Rhinolophus ferrumequinum: one gene and its partners. The protein of the gene in region 3 interacts with the protein of the main gene of each other region in a pairwise test. Links are inferred from orthologs where the notes say so. Each region holds a gene or a part of one and is shown on either strand. Other genes may lie near its edges.

Region 1 (10,981 bases), on a different chromosome or scaffold from region 3:
CCCCAGCTCTGTGAATGAGCTTCTGCACATGGCCCAGAATTGGGGGCATGGTCAGTGATGGGGTTCAAGAAGTCACAGAGTAGATCAGAACAGGGTGGCTGGAAGCTAAAGACTGGGAGTTGGCAGAGCTGGGTCCTGGGGGACAGGAACCTGGGCCCACCTTTGAAACGGTGACTGAGGATCTGCTCTAAGATGGCTGCAAAGTTCACAAACTCCTCAGATGAGTCATCGATGGGCTCTGCCGTGTACTTCTCCAGCAGTGTTTTCACAGAGAACCTGGGTGTGGGGTAGGGAGAAGGGGCAGTGGGGTGTCAGGTGAGAAGACAGGCTGATGGTGGTAGGGGAGGGGCATCAGGCGAAGAGAGGGAGTGAAGGGCAGAGAAGAGGTCATGAAGATTATGGATGTAGTGGGATGGCAGAAGGAAAGAGGGCGGGAGACAGGTAAGAATATAGTGACCATAGAGTTGCTGTGACATGGGAGTGATAGGGTGGCAGGTGGGAGACTGATTGACAAAGTGGGTGACAGGAGAGGTGACAGTCAGAGAAAGGAAGCTTTGGGAACAAGGTTTGAGAGGGGATGAAACAATAGGTAGAAAGTCGAGGCACCTAGAGCCTGGGGACCGTCCACAGCCCCCTCGTCTTTGCCCACCCTTTGGAGTTGCATTCTGTATGTGTGTGGATTGCGGTTCAGCTAGGAGTTAGAAGCCACTTTGTGCCCTTTCTCTGAGCTCTCTTCTGCTCTTGCTAGAAAAACCTTCAGTCCTTTCTGGAGGGGGGTTCACCTGTGCCAGAGCCTGTGAGTTGGCTCTGAGCACATGGGGCGTGGGCACGCATGGTGGCCAGGTGGGCTCTCAGCACACGGAGGCCCCCGCTTACCCCTTTTCCTTCCCAGCTCGGCTGCCCACACACCAGCTGTCCGGAATCTGGTGGTGCAGTGCTGCCCAGGGAAGTGCAGGGTGTGGGTCTGACACACACACTGAGTAGGAGTGGGCATTGGACACAGATCTCTGGAAGGGGCCTTGGGGGCCCTGATACCTGGCTTCTCAGAGAGGAATGCAGCCGAGGGAAGCCAGTGGGGCTGAGGGACTGCAGCCCAGCAGCCCCCATCCCTCTCTCCAATCCTGCTTGAAGTCCCCACTTCCCCTGCACTCCCTACCCCTACAATCTCCACCCACCATGGCTACAGTGGGATGGGGCAGGGCTAAGGGCACGTCTCCCAACATGCCATTATTGGCCTGTTGTGGGTGGCAGAGCAGATACAGGGCCTGCTTAGAATGGTCCTTTTCCCCCTAAGCTTATTAAGCCCTTTCATGTGCCAAGCGCTATACTTTTCGTGTGTTATCTCATCCATCCCTACAACAGCCCTGGGAGGTAGTTCCTCTTATTATCACCATCGTCCCCATTTCACAGATAAGGTAACTGAGAGTCCAAGTGGTTGACTGATCTGTTCAGAGTCACACAGCTTGTGAGAGGTCAAGTAGGTATGTCTGATTCCAAAGCCCTTGCTCTTTCTGCTATATCTTATGGCCTCCTGATGGCTGTCACAATTACTAAGGATCCGAGCAGCCCCTGCCCCCTCTGCCCTCTGTCCTCCTCTCTGCAGGCTCCAGCCCTGGGGCACTGGCCTCCGTGGCTCTCAGGCCAATGGCCCAGTTGAGTCCATGGGCCTCCCTCTCTTCCCTTTGGGCTTCAAGTTGGTCTGGCTTGAGATCAGAGCCAAGTCAATGCTGGGGTGGCACCTAGGGGGAGGCAGCCTGGTGGACACAAGTCCTGTTTCCTTGTGATACCCCTGTGGCCTTGGACAAGTCATATAATCCCTCAGAGGCCCATTGTCCCAAACAGGAAGGGAAGTACCTGCCTCATTACATTTTGATTCAGATCCCAGGCAGGATTGGGAGAAGGTGGATGTGGACGGGCAGGGGTTGTGAGGAGTTGGGTCATTAACGGGAAGGTTGGCCCTGCCAGAAGGAGCCTATGTTTAGGGCATATCTGGGATGCATTATGTAGCCTTCCACACCCTGATGATTTCTTCTGGTCATCTGGGTCAGACCACAGTGGGTGAATGGGGCTGGTGTCAGCATGGCAGCCATCTGCCATCTGTCCTCGGGGGTGCTGCAGAGCTGGTCATCTCCCCCAGGAGCCCCATGGTGTGTTCCCTGTTAAGAGGTGCAGTGGCTGCCGCAGTTACCATGGAGACAGGGAGACCAGGGCCCAGGGGAGCTCTCAGCCTGCTAAAGGGAACTGTTCTGGGAGCTGGAGGCAAACCATGTGACAGTGATGAGGTGGCAGGGGCCCGAGGGGTTTCTGAGCCTTTATTAAGCCCCTGATGCCCCCTAAAACTCTATCCCTCATACCACAGCTCTACGCCCACTTCCTATCTACCAGAACCTCTGCTTCTGCAGTCTGGACCAAGGGGAGTGCCCCTCATCTCCACACACTCAAGAAGCCCAGTTGTCCTGGCAGGCAAGAGAAAGAAGAGGAACCTAGGCGGTCAAGAGGGAGAAGAGGGACAGGGAAGATGTCATCAGGACAGGGCTATTTCCGTGTGCCAGGCACTGGGCTAGGCTCCTACGTGGATTATGTCACTACCCTTCATTGGTGTGGCTGTGACATATATAATGGGGATGATAAGGCACCCAAGGCCTGAGTGGTTAGGAGATTTCACCAATGATACACACTAGTAACTGATGAAGTAAGAGCTCGACCCAAGGCCCATCTAGCTTTTACACAACACTGGCAGGGTTAGGACCGTAAAGGTGGCGATCGTGGCCTGCACTTTGCATTCATCCCTTCTATAACATTTCAGGCATTTTTACGGAGGTCTGGTGTGCACAGCACTGTGATGGGCACTAGGCATATCGTGATGGGAGACAGATGCAGCATGGTCGGATGTGTGCCCAGGAACCTGGGAGGAGTTATAGGACACAGGAGCCAGGGCATCAGGTGGGCACTGATTCCTGGGGCAAGGAGCAGGGCCAAGGCCTAGGTGCAGGCAGGTGGGACTGGCAAGAGAAGACAGCTCTGTGCCCTCAGAGGTGGCACGGGGCATGGGGAGGTTCCAGGTGGAGAAGGCAGCTGACATGGGAATTTTAGAGGGAGGGATGAATGTAGGTGGGGCCTGAGGGAGAGAAGCTGAGCAATTGGCCATTCCTGGCTTCAGGGCAGGGCAGAGAGGGTGAGACTCTGAGGGCTGAAGTGGGAAGGTTCACTTCCTGGGCCCTAAGAAGAGGAGGGGTGGGAATCTTCCTAACCCTGAGACAGCCCTGCCCTCCCAATCTTCTCCCCTTGAACCCAAGAGTCCCAGGCTTCTTCAGCCGGCCCCTCAGTCCTTCCCACAGCAGGGGCAGTGCCCTTCACCCTTCAGTGGATGGATTCAGTCTTTGCCCACATGCCCCGTTGACTCTGCTACAGGTTGCAGCTTCCCAGAAAAGAAGGACACCATCCCTCTCCAGGAATTGAGCAGCATGATGGGAAAATCTCCCAGGAAAGCCCCACCTCAGATAGGCCAGGCTGTTGGGTAGGAGTGAGGGTATGCTTGGAGGGTGGTCATCCCCCTACCCCATCAGTTCTTCTCTTCCCACTGCCGACCCGCCGCCTGCGAGGGAGCCAGCCATCCCCAACCCTCCCCCTCACGCACAATGTCACTTCCTGGTTCTCACAGGAAGCTGCAGTGCCAGTTAAACACCCCTCACCCTCCAGGCCCCAGGCTGGGCATAGGCCTTGCTTGGCCTAGCAGGGTAGGGACCAGACCTCCAAACCCCTCCCTGGTCTTGGCCTGAGAGGGACAGTGGACGCTCCTGTTAAGCCTGTGCCTCCCTTTTCTCCCAGGTTGCTTTGCACGCTCATCCAGTTTTCCGCAGCCCGCCCCACACCTCTCTCCGGTCACCCCACCCCCACCCTACAGCGATGCCCACCTGCACACGGTGATCAGGTTCCTACGCTCCACGGACACATTGCGGGAAGATGCTTTCTTGGAGGACAGCCCCAGAGCCATGGTGGTCTGGACAAAGCTTGCTTCCATCCAGATATGCGGCCGCTGCTGCCGCCGCCAGCTGCCCCCCACCCCGCCCGGCGCCCTGGCCCCCCTCGCCGGATCACGGCTGGGCCCTCTGCCCGCCGGGGCCCCGCGACCCCTTTACCGCCATTGCCCTGCTGCTGAGTCGCGTGCCCAGCCCCCTGGTTCCCTCCCCCGGCGGCGGCGACACCGGAGCAAAACAAGGCCGGGGAGGGAGCTCTCCGAGGTGCTGAGCCGGGGCCCGTCACCCCCCTCCCCGAGCCGCCTGCCCCCCTCGGCCAGTGACGTCAGGGCCTTCGGGCCCCGCCCCTCGGCAGGCCGGGGACCAATCCGCAGAGGGTGCAGGATTTCAGGGGGAGGGGAGAGGGCCAGGGCCCAAGGGAGGGCGGAGGGGGTCCCTGAAAGAGGCAGCGATTAGAAGGAGTAAGAGGGAGCATCTGGCCTGTCCTCCACCCCCACACTCTGAGCCCAGGACCCCTTGCTTCACGTCTGAGCTCCGACGCCTCTACTCCCCTGTTTCTGACTATGATCGATGGTGTTCATCTCAGATTTCTCCCCCTGATGCCTAGGGGGAATGGAGGTCTTCACCTCCAGTATCCTCATCCCAGCCCCGCCCCCTCCCTCCCCCCCACCCCCCCATTCAGTATAGGCATTCTCCTCAAGGCCAGGGCAGGTCTTCGTCCAGAGAGCGCAGGTGGCCCTATGCTGCTGACCCAGGAGGCAAAGGAGCAGTCAGAGACACTGCGTATCTGTCTGCCCCCCGGGCTCGACTTGGCTACACCAGCCGGTGGAGTCAACCGCTCCTAAGGTGAGGGATGGGAATCCCGAATCAGCAATAGGAACCCAGCACCTGGAACCACTCAAGACAGTGAGTGGAGAGCAGACTGGCAGCTGAGGGCCGGGCTCGGTGGAGGTTCCTAGCATTAGAGATGGTCCCCACTGCTTCCCCTCGGAGTCCTACCCCCTCACACCACCCCTGGGGCAGCTGGCTTTCCTGTTAACCCCTTGCATTGCTGCGTGGTGCCATCAACCCTCTATGCACGGCCAAGAGGGCACCCGCAAAGCTGGTTGTATCTTTTACCCGAAGGTGGGGAAACTGGAGGCACAGTCTGGCTTCCCTGCTGCCCTTTGCCTCCCAGTTCCTCTCTCACATCCCTGCTCCATTCCCCAGTCCAACCTGTTCTCTTTCACTCAGCTTCCACAGAAAGCCTTTCTGTGTTGATTAAAGAGGCTCTACCCATTTCTCTGTCTGGCCTCAGGAATGTGCATCCCAGGGCTCAGCTCATATCTATTCACCAATTCCACCTACCTACGAGATTTACTCTGCTCTGCTAGTGGATGGTCAGTATCTCCACATTGATTCAGATGTGCTCCCACATCTGGATATGACCAGCAGGCAGGGACCCTCTGTCAGCACAAACAGAGGGGGAGGAGATAAAAGACCTAAAGAAGTTTCCAACCCTGGTCTGACTCCCTGGGGGCTGGGGAGAAGGTCCTGACTCCTGGCTCAGATCTCAAGCTCTCTCAGCCTCAGCCTCAATTCTTGGCTTCTGGGACCTCTGGGACCTTGGTCTTTTCACTCCCTCTTTTGCCTCTTGCCTCGCCTCTAGAAGCCCTTCTTAGCATCCTCTTGCCTCCAGACCCATCGCCAGTGGCAATCATGATGTTCTTTTGTTTTTCATTTGCAAAATGCATCTTATGCACAAAAGAGCACATAAAACACAAATGTTCAATTTAAAGAATATGGTCAAAGCAAACGCCTGTGTCATCACCTCAATGATCAAGAAATAGAACACTATGGGGCCTGCCTGGTGGCAGTTAGAGCTCCATGCTCCTAACTCCGAAGGCTGCCGGTTCGATTCCCACATGGGCCAGTGGGCTCTCAACCACAAGGTTGCCAGTTCAATTCCTTGATTCCCGCAAAGGATGGTGGGCTCCGCACCCTGCAACTAAGATTGAACACAGCACCTTGAGCTGAGCTGCCTCCCGGATGGCTCAGTTGGTTGGAGTGCATCTTCTCAACCACAAGGTTGCCGGTTCGACTCCCACAAGGGCTGGGGGGCTGTGCTCCCTGCAACTAGCAACAGCAACTGGATCTGGAGCTGAGCTGCACCCTCCACAACTAAGACTGAAAGGACAACAACTTGACTTGGAAAAAAGTCCTGGAAGTACACACTGTTCCCCAATGAAGTCCTGTTCCCCTTCCCCAATTAAAAAAAAAAATTAAAATAAAAGATTTAAAAAAAAAAGAAATAGAACACTATGAATGCCCCAGGACCTCCCTATGCTTCTCCTAGATCTCATCTTCATCCATGCCTCCAAGAGATAACCACTATCCTGACTTTTGTGATAACCATTTCCTTGCTTTTCTTTATAGTTTCATCACCTGTGTGTCCATCAAGCAAATATATAGTTTAATGTTGCCAGTGTCTAAACTTTGTAGAAATAGAGTCATACTGTGTGAATTCGGTTGCGATTTGCTTCTTTCAGTAGTATGTTAGGGGGATTCATTTTCCTTGCATACTAATTCCTGTGTAGTATGTCTATGCCACAAGTTATCTCTTCTACCATTGAGGATATCAGATAGGCCTAATCAGATAAACAGAAGCCACAGTATGTATTTCAAATGTAGGACTTAATACAGGTTACACAGGTGTTGGAAAACGAAAAGAGCAAAAAGAAAAAGAACATTGAGACAACTTGGAACTAGTAAGTAAAGGAAACAGCAAGCGCTGAGGGAACACAGGGAAGAGGTGGGATTACTACACCCTAAGAGCCCAGAGGGGGACGTGCAGAGTTGAGGCTCAGATGCAGGTGGAGCGGCCGGGGCTGCTGCTCACTCCTCAGAGCAGCCATCTACAAAGCTGGTTCCTGGAATGCGGAAAGAAGCTGATGGCTGGAGCCACTTTCCAATGATAGAGTGACCAAACAAAACCAAAAAAGTGGACGGTAGTCTCTTCTCCCTTTGCCTTCCATCTCACTCCAGTGCCTCCTAGTACTACGAGAACCTAACAGAAAGCCAGTTAATAACGGAGTGACTTTCTTGTTTCTCTAACAGGGAAACAAGTTTGCAGAGTCCCAACCCCACCCAGCATCAGAGAGCAGAGACACGAAGAATGGATTTGGAGCAGGAAGGCCAGAAGTAAATAACTGACACAGTCAACCCCTTTTTCTGCTCAGCATTTACACACATCTTTCTATGCATGTTTGAACAGTAACAATCTCATGACTTTGCCTAACAAGATGCAATTGTCCTTCCCGTAAAGATGTGCTGGCAGCCTCCAAAAGTGGAAGTGCAAAGTCTCTTCAGTAACAGTACCCATCTCTTGGTGACACCAATACCTCTCCTAGTTCAGCTACAAAAAAACAAGTAATTTGTTTTTTGTCTCTTGTTTAAGAAATCTTCCCTATCTTGAGGTTATGGTGTATTTTCTTATATTACCTTACAAGAGTTTTATAGTGTTATTTTACTTTAAAGTCTACAATTCACCTAGAGTAAATTTTGTGTATGGTGTGAGGTGGGGGTCCAATTTAATTTTGATCCAGCACCATTTATTACTTTTTAAAAAGTACTGTCTCCACTGTTTTTCAGTGACCTCTCTTTCAAATCAGGTATGGGTCTGTTTGTCAGCTCTGCTCCTGTGGTCTTTTGGTCTATTCTGGCACCAAAGCATAATGTCTTAATTATTAAAACTTTATAAGTCTTGATGACTGGTAGAGCAGTTCCTCCCATCTTATTCCTCTTCAAGAGTGTCTTGTTTTTCTTGGCCCCTTGTGTTTCCATAATAATTTTAGAGTTAATTTGACAAGCACAACAAAAACAAACTAACCTTAGTAGAAATTTGTATTGGAATTATGATTGCATTGAATCTATAGCTTGATTTGGATAGAACTGACATCTTTATAATCCTGAATCGTCCAATGTTTGGATACAGTATAGCTCTCTTTTGATTTAGCTTGTCTTTAAAATTTGTCAAAAAATGTTATCACTTTCTCCAAAGAAGTCTTATACATATTTTGTTAGATTTATCCTAGTTTATTCATGTTTTGTGCTATTTTAAAAGGTACCTTGTTAAAAATTTATTTTCTAATCATTGCTTCTATAGATAAGCAATTGATTTCTTATTGTGTTAAAATTTATATAACAAAATTTGCCATTTTTAAATGTACAGTTCAGTGACAATAATTACATTCACAATGTTGTACAACCATCACCACTATCTATTTCCAAAACGTTTTCATCATACTGTGTGAACATTTGTATACAAGTATTGGTTTGAGTCTGTGTTTTCAATTCTTTTGAATTGCTGTGTCATATGGTAATTCTATGTTTAACTTTTTGAGGAACAGCCAAACTGTTTCTACAATGGCTAAACCATTTTACATTCCCACCAGTAATGTAAAAGCGTTCCAATTTCTCCACAGCCTCAACAACGCTTGCTTTTTCCATTTTTTGTAATAGCCATCCTAGTACGTACAAAGTGTTATCTTCTTGTGGTTTTGATTTGCATCTCCCTTATGACTAATGATATTGAGCATTTTTTCATGTGTTTATTGGCAATTTGTACATCTCCTGTGGAGAAATGTCCATTCAAGTCCTTTGACCATTTTTTAATTTGGCTGTTTGTCAAGCAATTAATTTTTAAGCTGATTTTGCTAATTTATTAAACATTTCTATAAATTGAAATAATTTGTCTGTAGCTCCTTTTTTATTTTCTTGTTACACAATTAGGTCACTTGCAAATAACAGGTTTGTTTCTTCCTCACCAAATAACAAGCAGCTTTTTCCTGTTTCTGACCTCAGAAAAAAAGATTTCAATATTAAATGTGATGTTTGCTAGAGGTTTTTGTTTTTTTTAATAGATATCCCTTATCAGGTTATAGAAGTTCTTTTCTATTCTTAGTTTGCTCAGTGTTAATCATTAATGGATGATAAAGTTCATCAAATGTTTTTTCTGTTTTTGAGATGAATATATGATTTTTTTTTCTTTATTCATGTTCATGGGAGGATTGTATGAATTGATTTTTCTAATGTTATCAAACTCCATTTCTGGGGTAACCCAATGTGTCATGATGTATTTTCTTTTTTATATATTACTGGGTTTAGTTTTACTGATTTAGAATTTTAAAATTTATGTTCATGAGTGAGATTGACCTGTTATTTTCTTCCCTTGTACTATCCATGCCAGGTTTTGGTATTAAAATTATATTGTTAAATGAATTAAGAAGTATCCTCTCTTTTCCTATACCCTGAAATAATTTGTGAATGTTTGGAAGTATTTGCTCCTTGATATGTGATTAAATTTAATGATGAAGCCATCTGGTCATGGAGCTTGCTTTGTGGGAATGTCTTTGACTACTGATTCGATTTCTTTTATAGTTGTAGACGATTCAGGTAGTCTATTTCATTTTTCATTCCTATGGTTTTATTTTGATTTTGTCAATTGATTTCTCCACTAAAAAAAATCAACATTATTGAAGTATAATATACATACAATAAATGCACCCATATTAATCGTACAGGTCAATGAGTTTTGACAAATGTATCCACCCACAATTAAGATAGGGAATATTGCCATCACCAAAAAGTTTCTTTGTGCCTCTCCCTAGTCAATCCTCAGCCCCACCTCTGACCCCAGACAACCATATATCTACTTTCTGTCACTGTAGACTAGTCTTTCCAAGAATTTTATATAAATGGAATCATATAGGCTATACTATTTTGTATCTGGCTTCTTTCACTCAGCATAGCATCTTGGAAATTCATTCTTGTTGTTGCAAGTATTGTTAATTCATTACTCATTATTGCTATGTATTTCATTGTATGGCTATACCACAGTTTACTTGTCCATTCACTTGTTGATGGACATTAGGGTTTTTTTCTATTCTTTTTACTATTATGACTACAGTTGCTCTAAATGGTATTGTATAAATTTTTGTGTAATCAAGGTTTTTATTTCTCTTGAATAAATACTTAGAAGTGGAATTGTTGGATCATATGAGAAGTATGTGTTTAACTTTATAAGAAACTTCCAAACTTCCAAAGTGGTTGTACTGTTTTATATCCCCACTATCAATGTACCAGAGGTCCAGTTGCTTCACATACTTGCCAACATTCAGTATTTTCTTTTTTTTTTTTTTAGATTTTATTGGGGAAGGGGAACAGGACTTTATTGGGGAACAGTGTGTATTTCCAGGATTTTTTCCAAGTCAAGTTGTTGTCCTTTCAATCGTAGTTGTGGAGGGTGCAGTTCAACTCTAGGTCCAGTTGCTGTTGTTAGTTGCAGGGGGCAGAGCCCACCATCCCTTGCAGGAGTCGAGGAGTTGAACCAGCAACCTTGTGGTTGAGAGCCCACTGGCCCATGTGGAAATCCAACCGGCAGCCTTCGGCGTTAGGAGCATGGAGCTCCAACCGCCTGAGCCACGTGCCGGCCCCCAACATTCAGTATTTTTATTCTTTTTAATTTTAGCCAGTCCAGTGAGTGTGTGGTGGTACCTCAGTGTGGTTCTTCTTTATTGAGATATAATTTACATACAGCAAAATGTTTAGAATTTAAGCACGCCATTCGATAGATACGTATCCCACACTCCAAGACATTTTCATCACCCCCTGGAAGTTCTTCTATGCCTCTGCCACCACAGAATCCCCACCACCACCACAGAAGCAACCAGTGATCTGATTTGTAGAAACAGATTAGTTTTGCCTATTCTAGAATTATATATAAATGGAATCATATAATAAATACTCTTTGGCTCTGGCTTTTTTCATTCAGCATAATATTTTTGAGATTCATTGATGTTGTAGCATGTATAAGTAATTTGTTTCTTTTTATTGATGAGAAGTATACCAGCGTTTGTCTATTCGTTCTACTGTTGATAGGCATTTGAGCTGTTTCCGATTTTTGGCTATTATAAGGAAAACTTCCATGAAAATTTTCATTCAAGGATTTTGTGGACATAGAGTTC
Region 2 (11,139 bases), on a different chromosome or scaffold from region 3:
TTGACGGTGCATTTTTCTAAAACGCAATACTTACTTCCTTGCTAACAGATAGTTCTGAACCCAGTTTTTCTTTTCTTGTAGACTTAAGATTTATTCACAGACAAGCTGCCTGTGTTGCCTTCACTATTGAGCCGTTGGTTGTGGCTACATTTCACACTTACAATAGTCATACACTGAACCTATAAGGCGGGCCTTCTTCCGTGGACCAGGAACCCAGATAGCCAAGCTCATTAAGAATCAAAAAATAAATAACGCCATATAAATTCTAGTGAGAATCTAAATATGTGGCTCTTAACAACTACTGTGTTTCTTCGAAAATAAGTCCTAGCCAGACAATCAGCTTGAATGCATCTTTCGCAGCAAAAATTAATATAAGACCCGGTATTATTTTACTATAAGATGCAAAAGATGCATTGGAGCTGATTGTTTGCCTAGGTCTTATTTTCGGGGAAACACAGTATTTGCAAATGCAAGTGGACTTCTTTTATTCATTTCTAGGTTGCAATAAATATTCTGGAGGAATGAGGCTGTATAGTTTGATCACCAAATAAAAGGGATACTGTTTTACAGCCATCAAGTATGAATCTAATCTGCCTTTATCATACATAAATGACCCAAGATATGTACTCAATTATCAAATGCGGGGGCGGGGGGTAGACTTAACACGAAAATTAAAAACAATTTCAGAACTCGCATGTGTAGAGATTGACTCTGAGACTAACAAACAAGTGAATTAATCTATCCAAATACATGTTACATAAAAGCTATGTATGTGGCAGTGAGTCAATAACTAAGGTGACTTTTCTTCTATCACAGGCAAGCAGCGCCTCTCACATACCACTAGCACATACTCTAACACTGCACTCCTGCAAATATAATACAGGTGTGCCTATCGCGGGTTTTGTTCCAGGCCACTACAACAAACCGAGTTGTCATCTTTTTGTTGATGGAGGGTCTTGCCTTCAATTTGTTAAAAACGCAACATCTGTGAAGTGCAATAAAACGGGGTCTGCCTGTACAGTCATCTCTGTGACATACAGCAGGCCATACTGTGGACAACTTAAAAAAAAAAAAAGGCTGTTTTACTGCCCACATCCACTACTGTTACACCATCGAGTCAGGTGTTTTTATTCCTATAGGGCGTTAAGCTAAATCAGAGAATGTGTATACAATATGAGAACAGTTTATCTTAACTTGGCCTTCAGATGTATGTATTTAAGTCTCCATACATAAAGAAGCACTGGGTTGTTGAAAGTGTGAACTATATTTGAAGCTCATTCTTTATCAAAAACTTTTTTCTGTGATGGAAACAAACTCTGCGGGGCCCTATAGTAACTTCAGTCAGTAAGGAAAGCATTGCAATGGGACATGGCCTATGGTTATCTACCTGGAACAAGTGTATTTCAAAATGGCATGTAAATTAACTTTAGAGACTTGAAATGCCTAATATATTCTGAGTTAACAGCTTAAATACCCTTGCCCCTCTAAATATCTTTTGAATCAATTCACTTCTCTCTTTCCTCTCATGGATGTTTACAGCAGTTGCCTTGCTTGTATCTTCCCTGTTTCATTCTTCTCATTGCAGCCAGAGTGAACTTCCTAAAATAGAGACCTGGCTCTACTCAAAATCCTCCATGGCCTCTCTGAAGACTGTAAGATCCCTGAAGGCAAGGACTGTGTCCCCAGCATCTCGCTGAGTGTCCGGTGTCCCTGCCTCTACACACATGCCATCTCCAAGGCCAGATGAAGGTTTCATTTAAGTTGAGAGAGCTACTTGTACTCTGAACAGAAGTGGTCACTACTCATAGTGAAATTTGAGACATGATATTCCTTTTGTCTTATGTTAATAATATTCACCGCAGCTCAGGGGCGTCTTTTCTAAGATGCTTGCCTCCCCTGAGTCAGTATTTTAAATTCTTTTAAGTATCTGCGTGAGGACACATATTCATCTGATGGGAATATTAATATACTCAGGTGAAAAGGGTGCAAACAGATAAAATATTTCATTTTCATTTTATCCTCTTAAATAGCATTCAGGTGGTAACCAGACTACGAAAGGCTACAACTGGGCGACCCACCTGACCTGCAGATGGGTGAAGGTTCATGTGTGCTCTCCTTTATGATAACCTGTCAACTCTTTTCTAGATACCTCGAAAGTTTATCTGCAACCCGATAATCAATCTAAAGACCATAAAAGGAGGAAAAAAATGGCAGGAGCAAGGTACTATTTAACCAAGATCCCCAAAGAGCCCAACGTTCAGGGTTACTGGAAAAATTGTGGAACTAGGGGAGTTCGAAACATTCCAAGTGGAGGAAATCCAACCACTGGGAGGCTGGCATTCAATTATTTGGAAACTAGAGTCCATTCCAGTCAGTGGGCTCTTGGGGCACCCAGAGCAGGGGAGTTCTAGAAGCCAGGAGGGCAGTATCTGCCCTGCCTTGGGCTGGGGCTGGTTTCCCGCCAGAGCTTAGCCAGGTGGTGTTTCCAGGCTCAGAAAGGTACTAAGTGGAATCCTTCCATTTTTTTTTTTTAGGTTAGTGAACATATTTAGTTGATATACAAGTTTCTGTTTTAAATTCCAGATATGCGAAAGCTTTTAGTACACTGATCACAATTATCTTTCCATGTCATTAGATAGATACCTAAATCTTTAGAACCATTGAGGACCAGGCCCAGGAGCTAGGTGCCCTAAGACAGGCACTTGTTACAAACTTGCTGAATAAAGCAGGATCAGGATAGACTGAACAAACTTAGACTGAACAAAGTAAGACAAACGTGTCTTCCTCCGTTAGTGTCGGCTCCATTTCTCCTCTGTCAGCAAGACAGCTTCCTCTGGCTGCCTCTTCACACTTCAGAGCAATACAAATAATAACCCCAGAACTTTACCCTTAGAGCTTCAAATGACTGTTTCAATGATCTGTCTCATGACTGTTAAGGTGTTCTTTAGGCGCCGGTGGTTAGCCTTAAAAGGCTTTAACATCTGTCTCCTCCTTAAAATAGCATTGGCTGGAGCATTAAATGTGGGAATAAGTAGCAAAATAGAATCTATTGTCTTTAAAAGCAGCAACAACCACTTTTTTTTTCTTTCCTCATTCAGCCCTCCAATGTTTCTCATCTTTTCACCAGCCATTACTCCTCACAATAGCTTGGTTACAACCACCCAGGACACTCATAAGCCATGTGGAAAGTGCCATCAGTAATTCTATTAGCGACAGGAAGAAAATAAACACCCTATTCTTTTGATTTCAACCACCTCAAGGAACTCGGACTTCCTCTAAATTCCCAAGGCAAACATCTATACCACAATGTAACATAAAATGTACTGTTACTAAAGGGAGTTTTTTTTTTTTTTAAAGTTTAATTACAGTGCTGGAGAAAAAACCCAAAACAATGATTTCTGTCTTACATCATTGGAAACATTCTTCAGTGGTGGTTTGTGAAAATCTCACCTCATCAGAGCGGCCAAGGGCAATGAGACCCAAGTAATCGACCTGGAGGTGCTTGCCTAAATATTAAATATTCAGCAAACAGTTTGGGACCATTTAAGCGTTTGCACCTGGCCCCCTCTTTCAACACGTGCTGCCTCCTAGCGCGGCACCCTCTTCTCCCCACCAGAGCGCCAGCACCTCAAGGGGGCAAGTTCTGGGACCCAAGGACATTTCAAAGAAACAGCAGCGGTCACACTCCATTTCCGTTTTATTAAAAAAAAACAAACACAAAACACCTCAAATGCTTACAAATGGGGGAAGGGGGAACTTTGAAATACGTGTGGGAAAATCGCTTGCAGTTTTTCCAATTCAAGTTCTCCGGCACTGTTGAAAGTTCATTAATTAGGGATTTAAAAACAAAAGCGTTTCATACACCCATTAGATGCCAAGCTTTACAAACCGTCTTGATCTTTAGTTTGGGGAATTTGTAAAAGTCCCCCTCCCGCCCCTCATTCAAGACTTTGCACTCCTGGCCTTTGTTGAATTACGTGCCTCTTCCGAAGTAATCAAACTGACAATCACCTCACCCCATTTCCCCCCCAAGGGCAAAAGGAAATAAAGAAAGAAAAGTGACCCGTGAGAGCAGGGGAAATAATGCCCCACGGCCAAATTCGCAAAAGTCCGAGTCCTTGACTTCCCCACCGCAGCGCGCGACGCGCAGGACGAGAGACGGTCCCTACCTGGGGCGGGGCGGCGGCGGCGGCGGCGGCGGGGTCGCGGTGCCCATGGCTTCGCCGGCCTCGGGCAGCCGCGCCGGGAAACACCAGCGGCTCAGCGCCGCCCGGAGCCCGCTGCGCTCGCTGCGGCCGCCCCGGCTCGGTCATTGGGCCCGCGCGTCACGTGGCCCGGCCCGGGGCGAGCCTCCCGGCACGTGTAACCCTTTACCAGCGCGCCCCACACCGCGCGCCTCCCCTGGCGGTCCCCAGGCTGCAGGCAGGGCGCACGCCAGCCCTTGGCACCCTACTGCCGAACCCCCGCAGCTGGGGCTGGCCTTCGTGCTCACGGAAGCAGAAAATCCAGGAGCTCGGCCTCTGAGCACCCACACCCAGGTAGCATGCCAGCGGCCTGCCGGTGCTGGGAAACTTTTTAGTGCCTACTTTTCTGTCGTGCTGTCGGGAGAGGGGAGCTTCCTAGGGCTCAGGACGGAAGTAAGAAGATAAATAAATGCATCCGTGGTACATAGATTTGTACCCCTCACCGCCGCGCACTTGTGTTTTTGTTTCCTCTGCACTACCTGCTTAGACCTGGTGTGTGACGATAGCCTGCCTTTGAGACAGATGATCTGAGAATCAGCGCAGACGCTACCATGATAATTCCCAGGGAAGCTGCACAAACTTGCTGCTTGCACCCTCAAGACCACAGTGGGAGTTCAACGAAATCACGCTTCCCCGCCCCGCACCGTCCCCCTCTTTTCCTGGGGTGTAGGAACCTCGGCTGCAACACTTCGTCCAATCTGCTGATCTCTACGCCCGTACTTGTTGCAATCCACGCACCTAAGGTGGGTGGAGAACTGTTTCTTTACCCTAAAATACTACTTAAGCATGGGACATTCTTTTCACCTGCGCTGCGAAGTAAACTATGGGCTTGACAGGAAAATGTATTAAGCAACTGCGCCACCTAGCTTACCTAACTCTTGTGTTTTTCCCCTCCAAATCATCCAGGGAGAATCAGGATGAAACAGGATGCTGGAGAAGCAACGGCACAGAATACTATTTGAAGACAGACATACGGCCCTTAGTTTTTAATGCGTCCACTTTAGTGACTTCAGCGCCATTTACAAGACACGTGCCTTTATGGAGTAAAACTCATTTTCTGAATCTCCTCATTCGCGTAGTAGTAGCTGTCTGTTTTAATATGATAGATTTATGAGGGAAGTTACATGCGGTTTTAAATCATTTTCTGATTGAACTGTTTGTCACCACTGCAAGCTGACACTTTAGTAATGTCCACAGGATATTGGCACATTTGTCAGGTTATTCTGACCAAATATACTTTGGTATTTATCTTGGGTTTTAAAGTGTGGTTACCAAACTAGCAGCATCATCAGCACCATCTGGGGGGAATTTAGTAAAAATGAAAGTTCTCGGGCCCCACCCCAGACATATCAATTCAGAAATAGTGGGGGATAGGGAGAGTGAAGAAATCTGCGTTTTAACAAGTGATGCACAGTCCAGTTTGCAAACCACTGCTTAGGATGCTCAAGCGGCTGTTTAAGCTACCCTCGTCTAGTAAAGGCTGGGATTCTATAAAGCCAGAGGTGGTGGTGTTATTGGTAATCTCAAATTACCAGTGTTATATAACTTGCCATATTGATACACTGAAACCCAACACTCTGATGTGTCTATGCAAAGTGTAATCTGTACTTCCTGCAGATCACATGGAGTGCTAAATGGAGATTTGTGGGGTCCTTGTGAAAAATACAGAAGAAAAATCTATGGTTTCTTGATGCATGCAGGAATGAAAACATAATATACTCAGTTTTCAAGGTGCGTTCATGTTTTCATTGGCATATAAATTGTTTCCAACTGATGAGTCATGGAAGCCAGGAAAGCTAATTTGAATAATTTGTTAATATAGTTCTAAGTTTGTCAATATAGTTCTAAAAAAAAGACAAATTTAAAAAGTGTATGCTATTGGCTTATATCCCAAAAAAGCACCATATGAGGCATTTTAGGGTCAGCCCATTTCGTAGCTCCATCCCTCATACTAGTCTTGATGTGGCCTCTTCTTTATATCCTTAGTTATAGTGGTTCTGTTCAGCTAGTGTTCAGATGAATCTTGAGGGTGGTTGTTCTATAAATTTATGTGTCACTGTGGTGTCATCCTGGGATGCGGTAGGCATAGGGAGCGTTTACCTATTCCACCATCTTGAATCAAATCCCCCATGAGGCATTTTAGACTTTCGAGAAAGAGATTCTTTATCTCAGCTGGATTCTTTATTTCAGATTCCTCCATTGGATGGATAGCATATTTACAACTGCCTGCATAGAGGTCTTACCTTTTGCACTCTCTAGGTCCAACTTTATTATTTCCCCAACTTTCATCTCCTGACCTATTCGTTTTACATTTGCACCTCTGCTATCCACCCAGTTTCAACTGAAAACTGAAATTATTTGTTTTCCCTCTCCTTCATCACCCACCTCTGTCAGTTAGGTCCTGAAGTCACTCTTGAATTGCTCCCCCTCTTAGCATTCTCACTGCCACTACACAAAGATCAAGTTCTTACATTTTCTATCTCAGATCATTGCAATAGGCTCTTTACTGGTCCCCCAGCTTCTGGTCTCTTCTGTCTCTAATCCATCTGACAGAGTACTGCCTGAGTCATTCTAAAATACCATTCCAATCTGACCATTCTCCTCCTCAAAATATTTTTCACGATTCTGTTGACTACAGAATAAAGTCTAAAATCCCAACATAGCATTTGAACTCATCCAAAATATGCTTCGACTCTCCCTGTTTTGGCTCATACAGCTTCCTTCACCTGAAATGTCTTTTCTGGCATTCTGAGAGCTAAATCCTACTTATGCTTCAAGCCTCAGCTATCTGTCACCTCCTCTTGGACACCCTTTTTGATTACCAGAGTTAATTGCCCCTCTGCAGTGTATTCACTTTTATTAATAACTTTGTATCACATTCTGTCTTACAGCTGATTTAGTTGTGTTTCCTTTAGATTGTAAGGTTCTGGCAGGAATTGTATGTGACTAATTTTCAAGTCACCGTAGGGCACAGTATAATGCCTTGCACATAAGAAGTGTGCAGTATTTGTTGTGTTTTTGACCCTGAGATAGAAGAGATTTAGTTAAACAACAAATTCCATGTATATGAAATGCTTTTATGCAAATATTGATGGACAGCTTCTCTACATTTTCTCGAGAAACAAGAGAGAAGAGGCTTTAACCTTCAATGAGTCCAAAGGAATTCCCCCGCATGGGTAATGGAATCCTTTTCAATGGGAGTAAATTTTAAATTAAAGTCAGTCTTGAGGTCACATGAAGATGGAGGCAATAAACACAATGGCTATTCTAATTGTTTTCTTGACACTTTGATTTTGTCTCTCGGAGAATAGTTGTTTCGTGAAACTAGGTACAAGGTTTCACCTGATTATTTCCTTGTTATCATCACTTAAGCTCTCATTACTGCCGTTTTAAACAATTGTGTGTGTGTGTGTGGGGGGGGGCGAGGGGTGGGAGTAGTTTCTCAGACCCAAAGAGGCAAGAAACAGAAAAAGTACACATGGGAAAATTCCCCGTGGCATCTATGAGTGATTCTGTAGAGATTCTGTAGAGAATCTATGAGTAGGATGACTCCTTGGTTGTCCTTCCCACCTCCACCCCCAGCCCCAGAGGAAGGCACACTGTCCTTGAACTTACACATAGAACTGTTTCCTATCTGTTTTCCTGTTAAGGCTTGGAAATCCTAGAAGGCAGGAGCTATTTTATTAACCTTTGTATTCTTGGCAAAATGTAGGCCCCAGTAAATATTTGCTTAATGAATAGTACATCAACTGTTGCAGTGCACCTGAAAATCCTGAGAGTTTGCAAAGACCTCCAGTGATCTTCAGAACCTACCCTGGTTTCTCGTCTACAAGTAAGAAAACATCTTATATAGGTCATTATCAGTAAGTGCCTACTGGATACGCAATACTATATTTGTATGAGCTTTGAGAAAGCTGACAAAAAAGACATTGATGGTACATTGAAATGCTGTTCCGCTATTCTCCCTGGACCTGTGTTTCTAGGTTTCTTCATATGTAAATTTGGAATACTAACAGCACCTACCTCATAAAGCTGTTGTGAAGATTACACGGCTTAGTATATATGAAGCTCTGAAAATAGTACCTGGTGTACAATAAACACTCAGTAGGCATGAACTATTACTACTTCTACTACTACTACTATTACTACTACTACGGATCTCTATATCTAAGTTGGGGGAGAAAAAGAAACACCACATATCTACATAGTTTATCTTTTATTCATACAAACAAAACATACACAAGACTGTATATTGTTTGAAGACTGCAATAATTTTCTAGTGTAACAACTCTGTAACAAAATTTAACTAAAGGTAACATTTATGAAAATATAAATCTCTGATTGGGTAATTCTTCCCAACAATACAAAGTTTACATAAAAACATTCAATATGAGCTATCAGTTGCAAACAAGTTAGGAAAAATCATTCAAGTCACTTGTTAAACTCTATTGGCTGTTACACAGAACATTCACACACGACGTTTACTCCATCGAGACAATTTAATTTAGAAATATGTGCCATGGAGGTCCAACTGATAATGACAGGAATAAGATGTGTTGCCTCCAAAGAGCTAAAAAAAGCATTGACTCAGACAATCCACTGCAGGCGATCTGTACCTGCGCTGGGCCTTAGCCCGGCTACCACCTCCCTGGCTGGTAGCCAGACGAGGAGGAACATACTGGAAAAGTCTTTCACCATGGAGTTGGGTGTTTTATCTGAATCATATCTCTTTCCAAAGTGAAATACAATTGACTTGGATTCCCTATGGGTTAGATTACGTTGTTTCTCCAGTGTCAACAGTTAAGATGTCACTGCATTTTTTTCTTATATTGCTCCCCAATATCCCTAGAGGGGCTATAGCAGACACTACCATGATCTTTATTTCGCAGTTCACATAAACAATAATATAGTGGGGAGATTAAAGATCTGCTGACAGATACCTGATGAGTTCATGGCAGAGCTGGACCGAAAGTGAGTCAGTTCCTTGTTCATTATTCTGCCTTTTGTAGTCACTGCTGCCACTTTGAAATCAAACCAAACCAAACCACCACTACTGACACGCTTTGGAAAGTTATCCAAGGACATGCCAGGTGGAGGATATGGAAGGGAGAAAATCACTCTCCCCTTTCGGGATGTGGTATTTTCTTTTACATAGATAAAGTGGTTTTTAAAAAAGATTTAATACATTTCACAGCTTCTGCTTTGAAACAGAGAAGACTAGAAAAGTCTCCGAAGAGTCCTCAATTGGAAAGGGTGACAGTTAAAGAAGCATACATACTGTGTGTAGAAGTAAGAAAGGGTTTACAAACAGGGACATTAAAGAACCTTTGGACACCCTTAAGATTTATGGAATATTTTAGCACAAAGACAGGCATATTTCAGTTTGTCCCCGAGTATTTGGTCATCTATCTGCATTTTACACAGGAAAAAGGAGGAACGAGAGAGTAAGGCAAATGTCAGCAGTTTACCATAGATGGCATGTTGAGAAAGCTTTCTTTCTATTAAGATTTACTGCAGGGAATTAGGAAATAATTTATGCTTCCGTACAATTGACTGAATAGCACACACTTTTGTTAATACAATGATAGAAATGAACAGGTGTTTGGACCAAATCTGTAATGCCTTTTCTGTAATTCTTCCTTACACCCAGCACAAATAGGTATTTCAAAAAGACATGAGAAGATTATGGATTCTTATTAAATGTGTTCTTTTGCAGCCCAGGAAATAGTTTAAAAAATACTGTGTTCCGTTATACAGAAACCCTCGCATGCAATTGTCACAACTACATTTTCACGAAGACTGACTCTGTGTGTTCAGTAGCCCTATGATAGTGGTAGGTAGTTCTGTCCCAGTCCAGTTTGTGGCCTCTCATTTCATGTCCTTCCTCTTGTGAAACTGGGGGTACATCTGGGCATTTTTGTTACATTAGTTTGCACCTTTAGACCTTCCATCTACAGACTGGGTTTACACAGTTGTCAGGATTGTAAAATGTAAAGAGAGATTAAGGCTGTGTTTACTTATAGCCACACAATCATGTAAAGTCAAATAGCTCTTTGTGTTCACAATTTCAACCAATTTCTGTAGCACTACTTCCAGTCCAAATGGTCTCTAGCCTCTCTCATCTGAAACAAGGGGGCGAGTTATGCTGCTTCTTTTTTCCACACGATTTTAAAATGACCCTCTAACCTCCAGCTGATGGAGCCATTTACATACGATTTCTAGAAATTCTCTCAAGATTTCATTTCTGGATAAACTCTGACAAAAAGACCAAACTCAGAACCAGCTTCACATTTCTGTACGTCTCACGAGCATGTTAATAATTAACAGTGGAACTCTAGCATCTTTCCCATCTCTTAAGAAATGAACAGTTTATCATTTGGGATACAGAAGACACTGTTTTGTTTTGTTTTTTTCCTTTTCTATGTGTGCCATGTATTTCTGGTGAGCGAGATAAACATTTTGTCAGTTGTCAGGGGCATAGCCGTGGCCCCTGGATTCCAGGGCAGAGCACACCCGATCATAGCAAGAATTGTGTTTCTTGGAGGGTGTCGCCTCGTTGGGCTCAGTGGAGTCACTGACGGTGATGGGACTGTCTCTTGCAAAGACCTCAGTCGACTCTCTCCATAAGCAATCTACAGATACTTTGAAATAGTAACTGTTACTTTTTGGCCTGGAGGTCTGTGTTGCATTGTTGAATATCTGTCTGCTATTTGAAGTGGCAATTTTAATTTTCAGTGCGGCATCTACGCGGTCCACTACCGTGTATATCCCTATACTCCCGTCGTCAAAACCCACAATGATGTGGAGGTGCCTCTGTGAGAGGGCGAGAAAAGTTGGTGTTTTGTAAAGGGAACAAGCACCAATATTTTTTCCATCGGCCAGTCTCATTACAATT
Region 3 (10,433 bases):
CTAAAAACTAAAAAAACTGACAATGCCAGAGTAACTTTATCTCCTAAAGTTAAACATAGATTTTGACCAGGCAATTCTGCTCCTAGGTACCCAAGAGAAATGGGTGCATATATTCAAAGGACATCTCCAATAATGTTCATAGCAGCGCTGTTTGTAATAGCCGAGTCTATCAAAGTTAGAATGGATAAACTGTGATATTCTCACAATATGTGTTAACAAGCAGCACTGAAAATCAACAAACTCCTAACAACTTGGATGATCTTTCACAATGTTGAATGAAAGAAATCATACAAAGCAAGTACAGGGTGGTGAATGCTTAATTCTATTTATATAAAATCAAACACAGGCAAAACATTCTAGCATCAGATCAGATCAGGTGTGAGTAATGATTAAGAAGGGTCAGAAGGAAGGTTTTTAGGATGTTTGTTAATGTTTTACTTACTGATCTGGATGGTGGTCACATCAGTGTGTTCACTTTGGGGAAAAAAGCACTTATATTTGTGCATTTCTTTTTTTGTATGAGTGTTACGCACGATAAAAAAGTTTACTTAAAAAAACTGAAGCTCCCTTTCAATCTGCCCTGCAGAAACCCTAGATGAAAACACCCTTTTCATAGTAATATGCCACCTCTCCTTGATACCCCATTAACAGCTTTTACTTTGTATTGTCTCTCCAACTGTAGGTTCAAAGCACTACTCCTCTGCCATCAGACCTTACTGGCCTCTTCAAAAGTCTACATCTACTTATATCACCTTCTCTAAAATTTGCCTCATAGACACACTTGTTCTGTAAAGGGCAGATAGTAAATATTTTAGAATTTGTGAGCCAAGAAGCAAAAACCAAGAATACTATGCTTAAGTACTATAAGAAACAAATTTCCACAATTTCTTTTCCTTTTTGAAATAATAATAATGGAGTAAATTTTTTTGTAATGTAGATCTATTAAAGAGAAGAATGTAATTCTTTTTGGGGCAGAAACTATTTCACTCAATTGGGGTATAACATTACAGTGTTCTGTACTGAAAATGTTTGTGAACGTTCATTTGTTAAAACTTACTTTTAGTTTACAGATCATACAAAACAGGTAGAAAAGGCTGCATTCAGTTCACAGGCTCGTTTCCCCATCCCTGGTCTATAAACCCTTGAAAACAGCTATCTTTAACAAATGAAAAATATTCTGACATCTCTTCCTGCTATCTCCCACAAATCTTACATCCATACTGATGATTCTCCAAAAAAAAACTCAAGCCGTAAAATTCCTTTATCCCGCAAATTACAACTTTCCATCTAGTATCTCATCTGTAAGACTTCCAACTTGAACTCATCACCTCTTTCAGCATTACCATCAACATGCTTCACCATCTCACCAGGCCCTCTGCTTTTCCTAATTTTTATATCACCTTTTTTGGCTGTAACTTTCTATATAAGTTTAGCTATCATTTCTAACTATTTCAAATATTCTCTCTTTAGCTGTATCATTGGATTCCATCCATTTTCTCCAACCAAGCACAATTCAATGTCAATCTCTAGCTCTGGGGAAAAAAGTCATCTAATTCTTTGTTTTGGTGAAGAATGACTATAAAATGTTTCAAAACTAGGCAATATATATTCAATCACATTTGTGCTTTTCTCTGTTGATCAGCAATCCATTTCATTTCTAAATGATATTTACAAGTCTACCTCCAAATATCCACTACTTCAAAAATCCTCCACTGCTCCTCTCACTCTGAGAATAACCATCATTCTCTATAAATGCATAATTTCCAGTCTCAGCTGGGCCCTCCAAACTTACCAATCCTTGTTACTTGTCTTTGGTTGGTTTCCTCAGTCACTCCTTAAACCCCCAGTTGGTTGTCTCACTCCCCTCTCAGACAGGATGGCCTAGCCTCCCGATAGGAAACATTCAGGAGTATTTACTCTGTCCCAGTAGGCTAAGTGCTTTACATGCATTCTCTCATGTAATTCTTCTAACTCCATGAGATTCGTGGTAGTACCAACATTTTATGCATGAGAAAAGGCTTAGTTAAGATGAGAAAGAAACTGCTCTTAAGTGCACAGAGGTGTTACACAAATGACAGAGCCAGGATCCTAATCCAAGCAGAAATCCAGCGCCCAGGCTGCTAAACACTGCCTGGTCGTATACTTCACCTGAGAATAAAGAAGAGCAGATACAAATATGTATTCATTTACTCATTTATTACGTAATCATTAAAATCCTTTATGCCAGACTCTACTTCCTGTGCTGAGAACACAGCAAAGTATAAAACAAAAAACTTGCTCTCGTGGAGCTTATATTTTCCAACACACTACAAATATGCCAAATTGTTGCCGTCGTGTATCACAATCGCTGACTCTCCCAACCATATAACCATCACAACTCAAAGCCTCTCTTCCTCAAAAGTCCTTCTGCCCACTTTTATAAATAAAAGTGTTGTTATGTTATAAATAAAATAAAAATAAATAAATAAAAAAAGTGTTATAAATAAAGCCTCAGTGTTGATAGCATACTCTTCCAGTAGTTCTCTGACATTTCCTAATTTTTGCCTTATAATTTATACCTTTATCTCCTCTAAAGTATAGGTGATTTTTAGCGGTGAGCTGTCTGGGCTTTACGTTGGATTTATCATACTTCCATGGCAGCCCTCTACTTAGTAATCACTAAATATGCCAGCATGTGTCTGTCTTCCTACGAACATCTTACCAATATTCTCTCCACGGAAGAGGGTACTGGGCGCAGTATCTTCCATTGATTCTCAGCTACCAATCGTAGTTTTGGTCTTGCCCTATGAAATACTAATTTACACTTACACATTGCTCCCTTTCATCTGTCTTGAAAAATGAAAGTGTAAGGAACACATTAAAAAAATATGAAGTTTGGTTAGTTTAGAAGCATTTCTAGAAGTAGCTGGTAAAGGATTTCAAAATGTGGTATTGCTCTATTCCCTGATTTGTGGTGAATTATCCTTACTTATCCAGGAAAAAAAACAAAAACAGAAGGCAGACTAGATTATTATATTCAAGCTCTAAAATACAGGCGTTAAGTATATCCCAGGTGAAGAAAAACCAAGGCAAAAACATATCCTTTCAAGATAGGCTACACTTGAACATTTATTGAAAATGAAATGTGTTGTTCCCTAACATCAACAACTTGAAAGTTATCTATATGTTTAGAAAAAGATATACGAATTTATGTAATAAACCATAAATACCAGGAACCCTTGAAAAGTTATCAGAACAATTTAATATTTGTTGGGCTTTTTTGTTCTATTGTTGTTGGGACACATAAAAGCTATTCTCCAAATCTAACGTTCCTTAAGTAGACCTATGTTGTAATCTGCTTCCAGAAGTAGAATTCATTTATTTTTCTGGCCAATATTCTAATCCCTTCATCACAGTAATACTGCTTTATTATAATTATTAAAATGCATCAATTTCCCAATAAACACAAAGTATAACTAAGTTCAACATTTTAAAACTTTTAGGACTCATGAATTTTTTTAAAACGAGGTACCAGAACCACATAGCTATTCAAGATATTCTAGAACTCTTGAATAGTTAAATGAATGTTACCGACCAATTCAAATCACACGAAATCTATCTATCAATAACTGGAAAACAACTTGTAGGGTAAAATCTTGCCGGGTTATTTTGCTTTTTGTTTCGTAGAGTGGGGGTCCCCTTCCTCCCCCGACAAAATATGCTACGCCTGTAGGAAGTAGCTACTTATGGAAAGACCAGGACTACTCCATGCAAAGAACTCACAACTTTCTGGCAACCAAAGTGCTAGATATTTCATTTAAGTGTAAGAGTACCATTCCAAACGATCCGGCAAGCCCAGCACACCCTTGCCACAGTTCCTGAAAAAAAAAAAACACACACACCAAAATCTCTAACCCTCCCATTTGTTTTTAGAAGTCGGCCTGAAGGAAAGCTCGGGCGTTATCACAGTGAAGTCGGCAGCGAGTCGTCCACTTCCGAAAGGACCCGACGCGGAAGTCCCTTGGACACTGGCACCTCGAGGACCGAGGCTAACCCCTCGTTCTCCCCTGGGGGTCACAGTGCTACCTCTCTCCAGCTCACCGCCCGATGCCGCGGTACCAGTCCACTCCGACACAGGACCAAACCGGCGGCCGCCTCACACGTGTGTCAGGCCTAGGGCTCCCGCCACTGCCTCTCGGCCTCGCCCCGCGTCGCACGCGCTCCCACGACTTCCTCACCCTCCAAGCCCCGCTCACCTCCTTTACGGAGAGAAACTCAAGCAACGGAAAGACCAAATGCCGATCCAAAAAGTGCGCGATGCGGGTAGTCAAGTCGTACTCCGCCATCTTGTCAAGGAAAAGGAGAGTCTCTCCTCACTAAAACTTTATTGATAGCGCCGACAGAGGAACAGACAGGTCCCCCAGCGCGCATGCGCAGTGGTTAAACTCGCCCCGGGGAAGGGGCGGGGTTCAGGCCGTGGCGCTGGGAGAACAAGGTCCCGGGCGCAGGCCCTCCTGGGCTCTGGGCTATTCCGGGACTGGGCGGAGCGTTGGGCACATTTTCTTTTTCTTTCAAGTTTGTCGGTGTACTGCGATCCGTTCCGTTCTTAAAACTGAAAACTCAGAATTGATTGCTGAGGCAATGTCGATTGCATTGGGATGCGGCAGAGGACAAGCTCAAGAGGCCCCTGCTCTCCAGGAAGTGACATGCAAGGAGGAATAGGAGCTTTTATTTGTCATAGTAATCATTTTGTAAACCGTTGGTTAAATTGTTTCAGACAGAAAACAAGTAAAATAATTTCAGATTATAGTAACAGCCATAACGTAATGATTCTGTGGGGGTGGTCAGGTTGTGCTTTTTTTTTTAAGATCTAATTGAGTTTATTAAGTGATTCATAAATCCGGCAGCATCCCATCTAGCAACTAGAAGGGTGCTCCCAGGAGTTGTACAAAATGAAAGGTTTTTATAGGAATAACTTTGGAGCAAGGGAGGTATTAACAAAAGAAAAGAAAGGATTAATTTTGGGCCAGGATATCTTTTGGGGGGGAAGAGAATGGGGAAGCATTTGTAATCATGTAGATTGCCTCAATAATTTCAAAGTATAGTAAGAGCCCCAACGCAGTGGAGGTGGTCGGGTTGGATCTTTTAAATTAGGTTAGCTAGAGAAAACTCAGATGGGAATTAGGGTGGTTAGAGAGGACTCAGGGTAACAGTTTAGCTGAGAGTTGTAGTAAGAGATGGAGGTGACCAAAATTAGTCTGGGTGAAAACATACCTGGTGGAACCCACAGCAAAAACAAAGGCCATGACACAGGAAAGGACTTGGTGTGTTTCAAAAACAGAATACCTTGTGAGTATCCTGTGTTACTGAAGAGTGAGGTTCAAGACTTTGAGAAGGGCCAGGTCATGATTAAGATAAGAAATGTGGATTTTATCCTAAGTGCTCTGACGTCTCCTTTGCTAATTATGTCTCATCTTTCAGGTCTCTTCATTGTGTAGTGCCTTGGGGTCTTTTACCTCTTCTCTGTCTAGGCCATTGCCCTAAGTGATATTGTTCAACCTAAGGGCTTTAAATGAAATCTACGCATTGACAACTCCCAAAGTATAACCCTAACCAGACTAGTAGTTAACCGCAGACTCACATATATTCAACTGCCTACCCAACACCTCCATGTTATCATGTCTAAAACCATACTCCCCCATGTAGTTCATCAAAAGCTGCAACTTTGACACTCTTCTCCAGCTCAGTGAATGCCAACTCCATCCGTCCAGTTGCTCAGACCCCAAACCTGGGAGTCATCCTTGACTTTTTCTTACACTCTATTTTGAATTCACCAACAAATTCTTAGGTTCTAACCTTCAAAGCATATCCATATCCAAGCAGTTTAAACCACCTCCAAAGTTAATCCCTAATTCAACCATCTTTATCTCTTGCTTTGATTTTTGGAATAGCCTCTTTACTGATCACCTTGCTTCCCCTCTTTTCTTCCTGTAATTTATTCTCCATACAGCAGCCAGAGTGACTTTTAAAAGTCAATTTATGCTCAAAAACCTCCAAGCCTTGTTATCTCACTCAGAGTAAAAGATAAGTCATAAAATGTCATAAAAAGCCCTAGATCATCTGGACCCATTACCTCTCTGACTTGTCCTTCTCTTCCTCTTGCTTACTCTCCCCCAACTCTAAGTAACCACTAGTCTTTCTGTCTTGTAGATTTCCCTATTCATAACTTTCATGTGAATGGAATTATATAATATGTGGTCTTTTGTCTGACTTTTTCACTTACCGTTTTCAAGGTTCATCCAAGTTGTAGAAGAACAAGTATTTAATTCCTTTTTATGACCAAATAGTATTCCATTTCACGAATATACCACATATTGTTTACCTATTCATCCGTTGATGAGCATTTGAGTTGTTTCTATGTTTTGGCTGCTATGAATAATGCTGCTATAAACATTCGTGTACACATTTTTATGTGGACATATGTTTTCCATTATCTTGGGTATATACCCAGAGGTGGAATTGCTGGGTTATATAGTAACTCTATGTTTAATTGCTCAAGAAACTGCGAGACAGTACTCTGATTTTGCAAGATGTTACCACTGGGGGAAACTAGGTGAAAGGTACACAGAATAGCCCTGTATTGTTTCTTACACCTGCATGTGAATCCATAATCTCAGAATAAAAGCTCAATTTAAAAAAATGATTCCTAGATTTTGGACTTAGAAATTGGATACCTACTGGTGACTAGAATATGGGGATTGTGGGGGAGAATGGCAAAGGAATATGTATGGGTGCTAAAATTAAGAATTCTATTTGAGACAGAATAAGATCTCTGTTAGATATGTAAGAGGTGATATCTAGAATGCAAGTGGAGACACTATTTTGGATCAGTTAATCACTTACCATGCATGTAACCTTACAAAAGATATTTTCAAAGATTTGGGAGTATGATATGGTCTGGCCATTATACCATTTATAGTATTGTGGGGAAGGCAAGGCAGAATTCCCATGAAGCAGAGAATACATAATAGTATAGGCTGCTAAATTGTGGGGAATAGTCCTTGTAATCTCTAACAGCTGAGAAATAATAATCTGAAGCTTCCGGAAGCCCAGACACTAAAGTTATAATAGAATATAGGAAAAGAGGAAGTTAGAGAAATAGCAAGAACTGAGGCTTCCAGCAAAAGTGAGCTTTGATAGATGAAGGAAAGAAGCAGGTAGCAGTATGGAAACTTGCCAAAAAGGAACAGAGAGCATCATTAAGAAGCAGAGAGAAATAAGATGCAATTTAATTTGGCAAACATTTTAAACTTTTATCATATGAAAAGTACTAAGCTAGGTGTTAATGGGAATATATAATCAGAGCTAGTTACTGGCCACAGAAGCTTTTTGTCTAATAGGTGACAATTATCCATTCATTTGTTCAATATAAATTGAATACCGACAATGTGCTAGGCTCTGTTCTAGGTTCTGGGAATTCAGTGGTAAAGAAAACAAACCACCTTCTCTATAGAAGCTTATATTCAGGTGGAAGGAGACAAATAAAAACATAAAAATATATACTTTTTTAGTTGGTAATAAGTGCTATGCAGAAAAATATGCAAGGTAAAAGAGAATGATCGGGAAAGGTTGCTGATTTATATAAAGTGGTCAGGGAAGGCCTGTCTGATAAGGCAGAATTTGAAAAGAGACATGAAGCAAGTGAGGGAGCCTGTGGCTCACTAGAGGAGGAAAATTCCAGGTGAAGGAACATTAAGTATAAAAGTGCTGAAGCAAAAGTGTGCTTGATGCTTGATATCCTTGAGGAAAAGCAAGGAGTCTAGAAATTCAAGAGCTGATTAGCAAGAGGAAGTGTGGTCTAGAAGATGAGTTCAGAGGGCGTGGCGGGCCAGATGATGTAATGCTTTGTAGGCCACGGTAAGGACTTGGGTTGTATTCTGAATGAGGTGGGACGCTATTGGAGGGTTTTGAGCAGAGAAGTCACAAAATCAGAGTTATGCTTTAAAAAAGATCACTTTGAGGGATTGAGGGAAAGGAGACAAGCATTAACAAAGAGACCAGTTGATGAATAGCCTATTGAAATAATTCAAGGAAGAGATGATGGGGGCTTAGAACAGAGTAGTAGCAGTGAAAGAGTTGTGAACAGAAGTGAAATTCTAAATGTATTTTGAATGCAGAGCTAGCAAAATTTGCTAATGATTAGATGACAGAAGGGTCAAAGGTCTAAAAGAACTGAGAGACGATTTCCTAAGACAAGGAAGGGTGTGATAGATACATGTTTTAGAGAGGCGAGAAACCAAAGTTTAGTTTTGGACCTATTATGGTTGGTATGCCTGTTGGATATCTAAGTGGAGATATTGATTAGGCAGTGGTACATATGAGTCTGGAATTGAAGAGAAAGGTAAGAGCTGGAGAAAGAAATTAGATCTTGTCAATATGTTGAAGAAATTTAGACCCATGGGACTAAATGAGATCAGAGAATGAGTGTGTTGGGAAGAGATGAGCAGGGCTAAATCTTAGGCACTTCAGCTTGCGGAGGTTAGGACAGTTCAGATCAAGCAAGGAAGCTGGACTGGAGGAGTGGCCAGTAGGTGGAGGAGAGAAGAGGAGGAGCAAGAGAAATTGGTGTTTCAGGCACCAAAGGAGGAGAGTGGTCCAAGCATCACGGAGCAATGGACTATGTCAAATGATGCTGTTAGTTCAAGATGACAACTGAGTTTTGCCTGTCAGCTTTGAAAATGTGAAGGTGATTGATGACCTGGAGAAGAGCAGTTTCAGTCAGTAGCGGATGAAAAAGTCTGTTTGGAGAGAGCTCAAAAGACGGGAAGAAGGAAGTGAAACAACATATGCAAACAGATCTTTTGAGGAATTTACAAGAAAGGGAAGCAGTGAAATACAATGAAAGATATGGCATCTAGGGAGGGTGTTTTAAAACATGTGTGTCTGCTGATAGACATGATATAATACTTACGTAAATAACTATAATGGAAAGATAGAGTATTAGGAGAAGCTGCAAGGAACATGGGAAGATAATGAGGCCCCCGTCAGAGTGTGCTCAGAGATTGATTCTCAATGAGTGTAGAAAACAGGCAGGAAGCTTGACAGATTGTATGTCTTTTGTATTGGGTCTGCTGACTTACACAACACATATGGAAGACAGTATTGCATGTGGTTCATGAACAATTTGACACTGTAGAGACATAAAAACAGGAAGTATAAGAAGTATTTAAGAAAGACAACTTGGGAAGTTAGCTGAAGATTGAATACTATCAGGGAGGCTATACTAGAAAAGAAAGACCGGAGCCAAATAGTAGAAAGCTTATGTGAGGAATTTGGAATTTATCTGAGGTTAGGAAGAGCCTTAAAGTATTTTTTGAGTATGAGAGTGAATAATCTTATCTGTGTTTCAGGAAGGTAACCCTGACAATTGCGTTGGACTGTGATTGTATAGATGAAATGCAGCCAGACTGTGGAAGGTCTTCCAAACCATGCTGGGAAACTTGGATTTGATTAGATAGACAATGGGAGCCACTCATTAAGTTCTTAAAAAGAAAAAGACATGAAGACAGTGGTGTTTTGTCCTTTAAAATTAAACTGGAAATGATTTACAAGATGGATTAAAGTGGTGACAGATTGGAAACTCTGCTGATTTGCCTGGCTTTTCTTCTGGAATTTTCCTTGCTGGTTTGTGAAAATATCTTGTTTCTTTTTATAAGAGAGATTTAGCCCCAAATATGGAAAATCTGACTTTTTTGCTTTAGTCTCTTTCTAGTGTTTTCGTTAAAAAGAGATATTACAGAAGAAGGACAGATAAAGGCTCACCTGCTAGTATGTAGGTGGTGTCAGATGAAGACTGATTCTCACACATGCATCAAGTATTATTGAATGCTTGCCATTCGCTGATCACCAGTTCAGGCTCTGGGGAAACAAAGAAAGCAAACTAATCCCAGGCACAAGGAGTGTGCAGTTTAATGCGGGCAGCAAGCATGTAAAAAGTAAAATAATTGTAGCACAATATGGGAGACTCTATGCACAGAGAGCAGCTGGGCGTCCAGGGGAGGAAGTGACTTGCTGCCAGAGAAAGCTGGAGCTTTATGGAGAAGGCAACCTTTGACTACCTCTACCTGAATAGATCTTCAGCTGCCTAAGAAAAGGTGAAAGGATGTTTCAGGCAGAGGGAAGGAAGCGCAAGCACACAGGCTTAGCCTTGCGAAAAAGCACAGTGTCATTGGTGACTTTGAGAAGGTCTCTGTGCCTAGAGAGTAGCATGTGTGATGTCGAGTGGCAGGACATGTAAAGGTCAGTTGTCAAGGGTGCTGTGGACTATGCTGAGAAGTTTGAATTCTGTCCTGCAGGCCAGTTTTTCTCGTGACTCTTTTCCATACATCCTTCTCTGTCTTTCTAGTTCAAGCTATGATGATCTCTCACTCAGACTACTGCGATGGTCTTCCAAA

Evidence for each region. The genes of interacting proteins can lie anywhere in the genome.
Region 1: the proteins of EIF3E (region 3) and RUNDC3A interact in binary tests that used the Homo sapiens proteins (3 or more experiments, as listed by UniProt). The two-hybrid records come from large-scale screens. The link is inferred for Rhinolophus ferrumequinum from reciprocal best matches to the Homo sapiens genes EIF3E and RUNDC3A.
Region 2: the proteins of EIF3E (region 3) and C5H4orf19 interact in binary tests that used the Homo sapiens proteins (3 or more experiments, as listed by UniProt). The two-hybrid records come from large-scale screens. The link is inferred for Rhinolophus ferrumequinum from reciprocal best matches to the Homo sapiens genes EIF3E and PGCKA1.

What each region holds. Positions count from the first base shown.
Region 1 is NC_046304.1:39,360,084-39,371,064, reverse strand, and holds the start of RUNDC3A (RUN domain-containing protein 3A), read right to left. Parts: upstream 4,277-10,981; 5' UTR 4,022-4,276; coding exon 3,915-4,021; intron 277-3,914; coding exon 161-276; intron 1-160. UniProt on the Homo sapiens protein: May act as an effector of RAP2A in neuronal cells.
Region 2 is NC_046288.1:62,266,133-62,277,271, forward strand, and holds the start of C5H4orf19 (uncharacterized protein C4orf19 homolog), read right to left. Parts: upstream 4,277-11,139; 5' UTR 4,170-4,276; intron 1-4,169. Other genes in the region: NWD2 (NACHT and WD repeat domain-containing protein 2), read right to left, coding at 10,707-11,139. UniProt on the Homo sapiens protein: Acts as a tumor suppressor. Acts as a tumor suppressor for colorectal cancer cell proliferation by targeting KEAP1/USP17/ELK1/CDK6 axis.
Region 3 is NC_046297.1:48,867,471-48,877,903, forward strand, and holds the start of EIF3E (eukaryotic translation initiation factor 3 subunit E), read right to left. Parts: upstream 4,427-10,433; 5' UTR 4,326-4,426; coding exon 4,236-4,325; intron 1-4,235. UniProt on the Homo sapiens protein: Component of the eukaryotic translation initiation factor 3 (eIF-3) complex, which is required for several steps in the initiation of protein synthesis.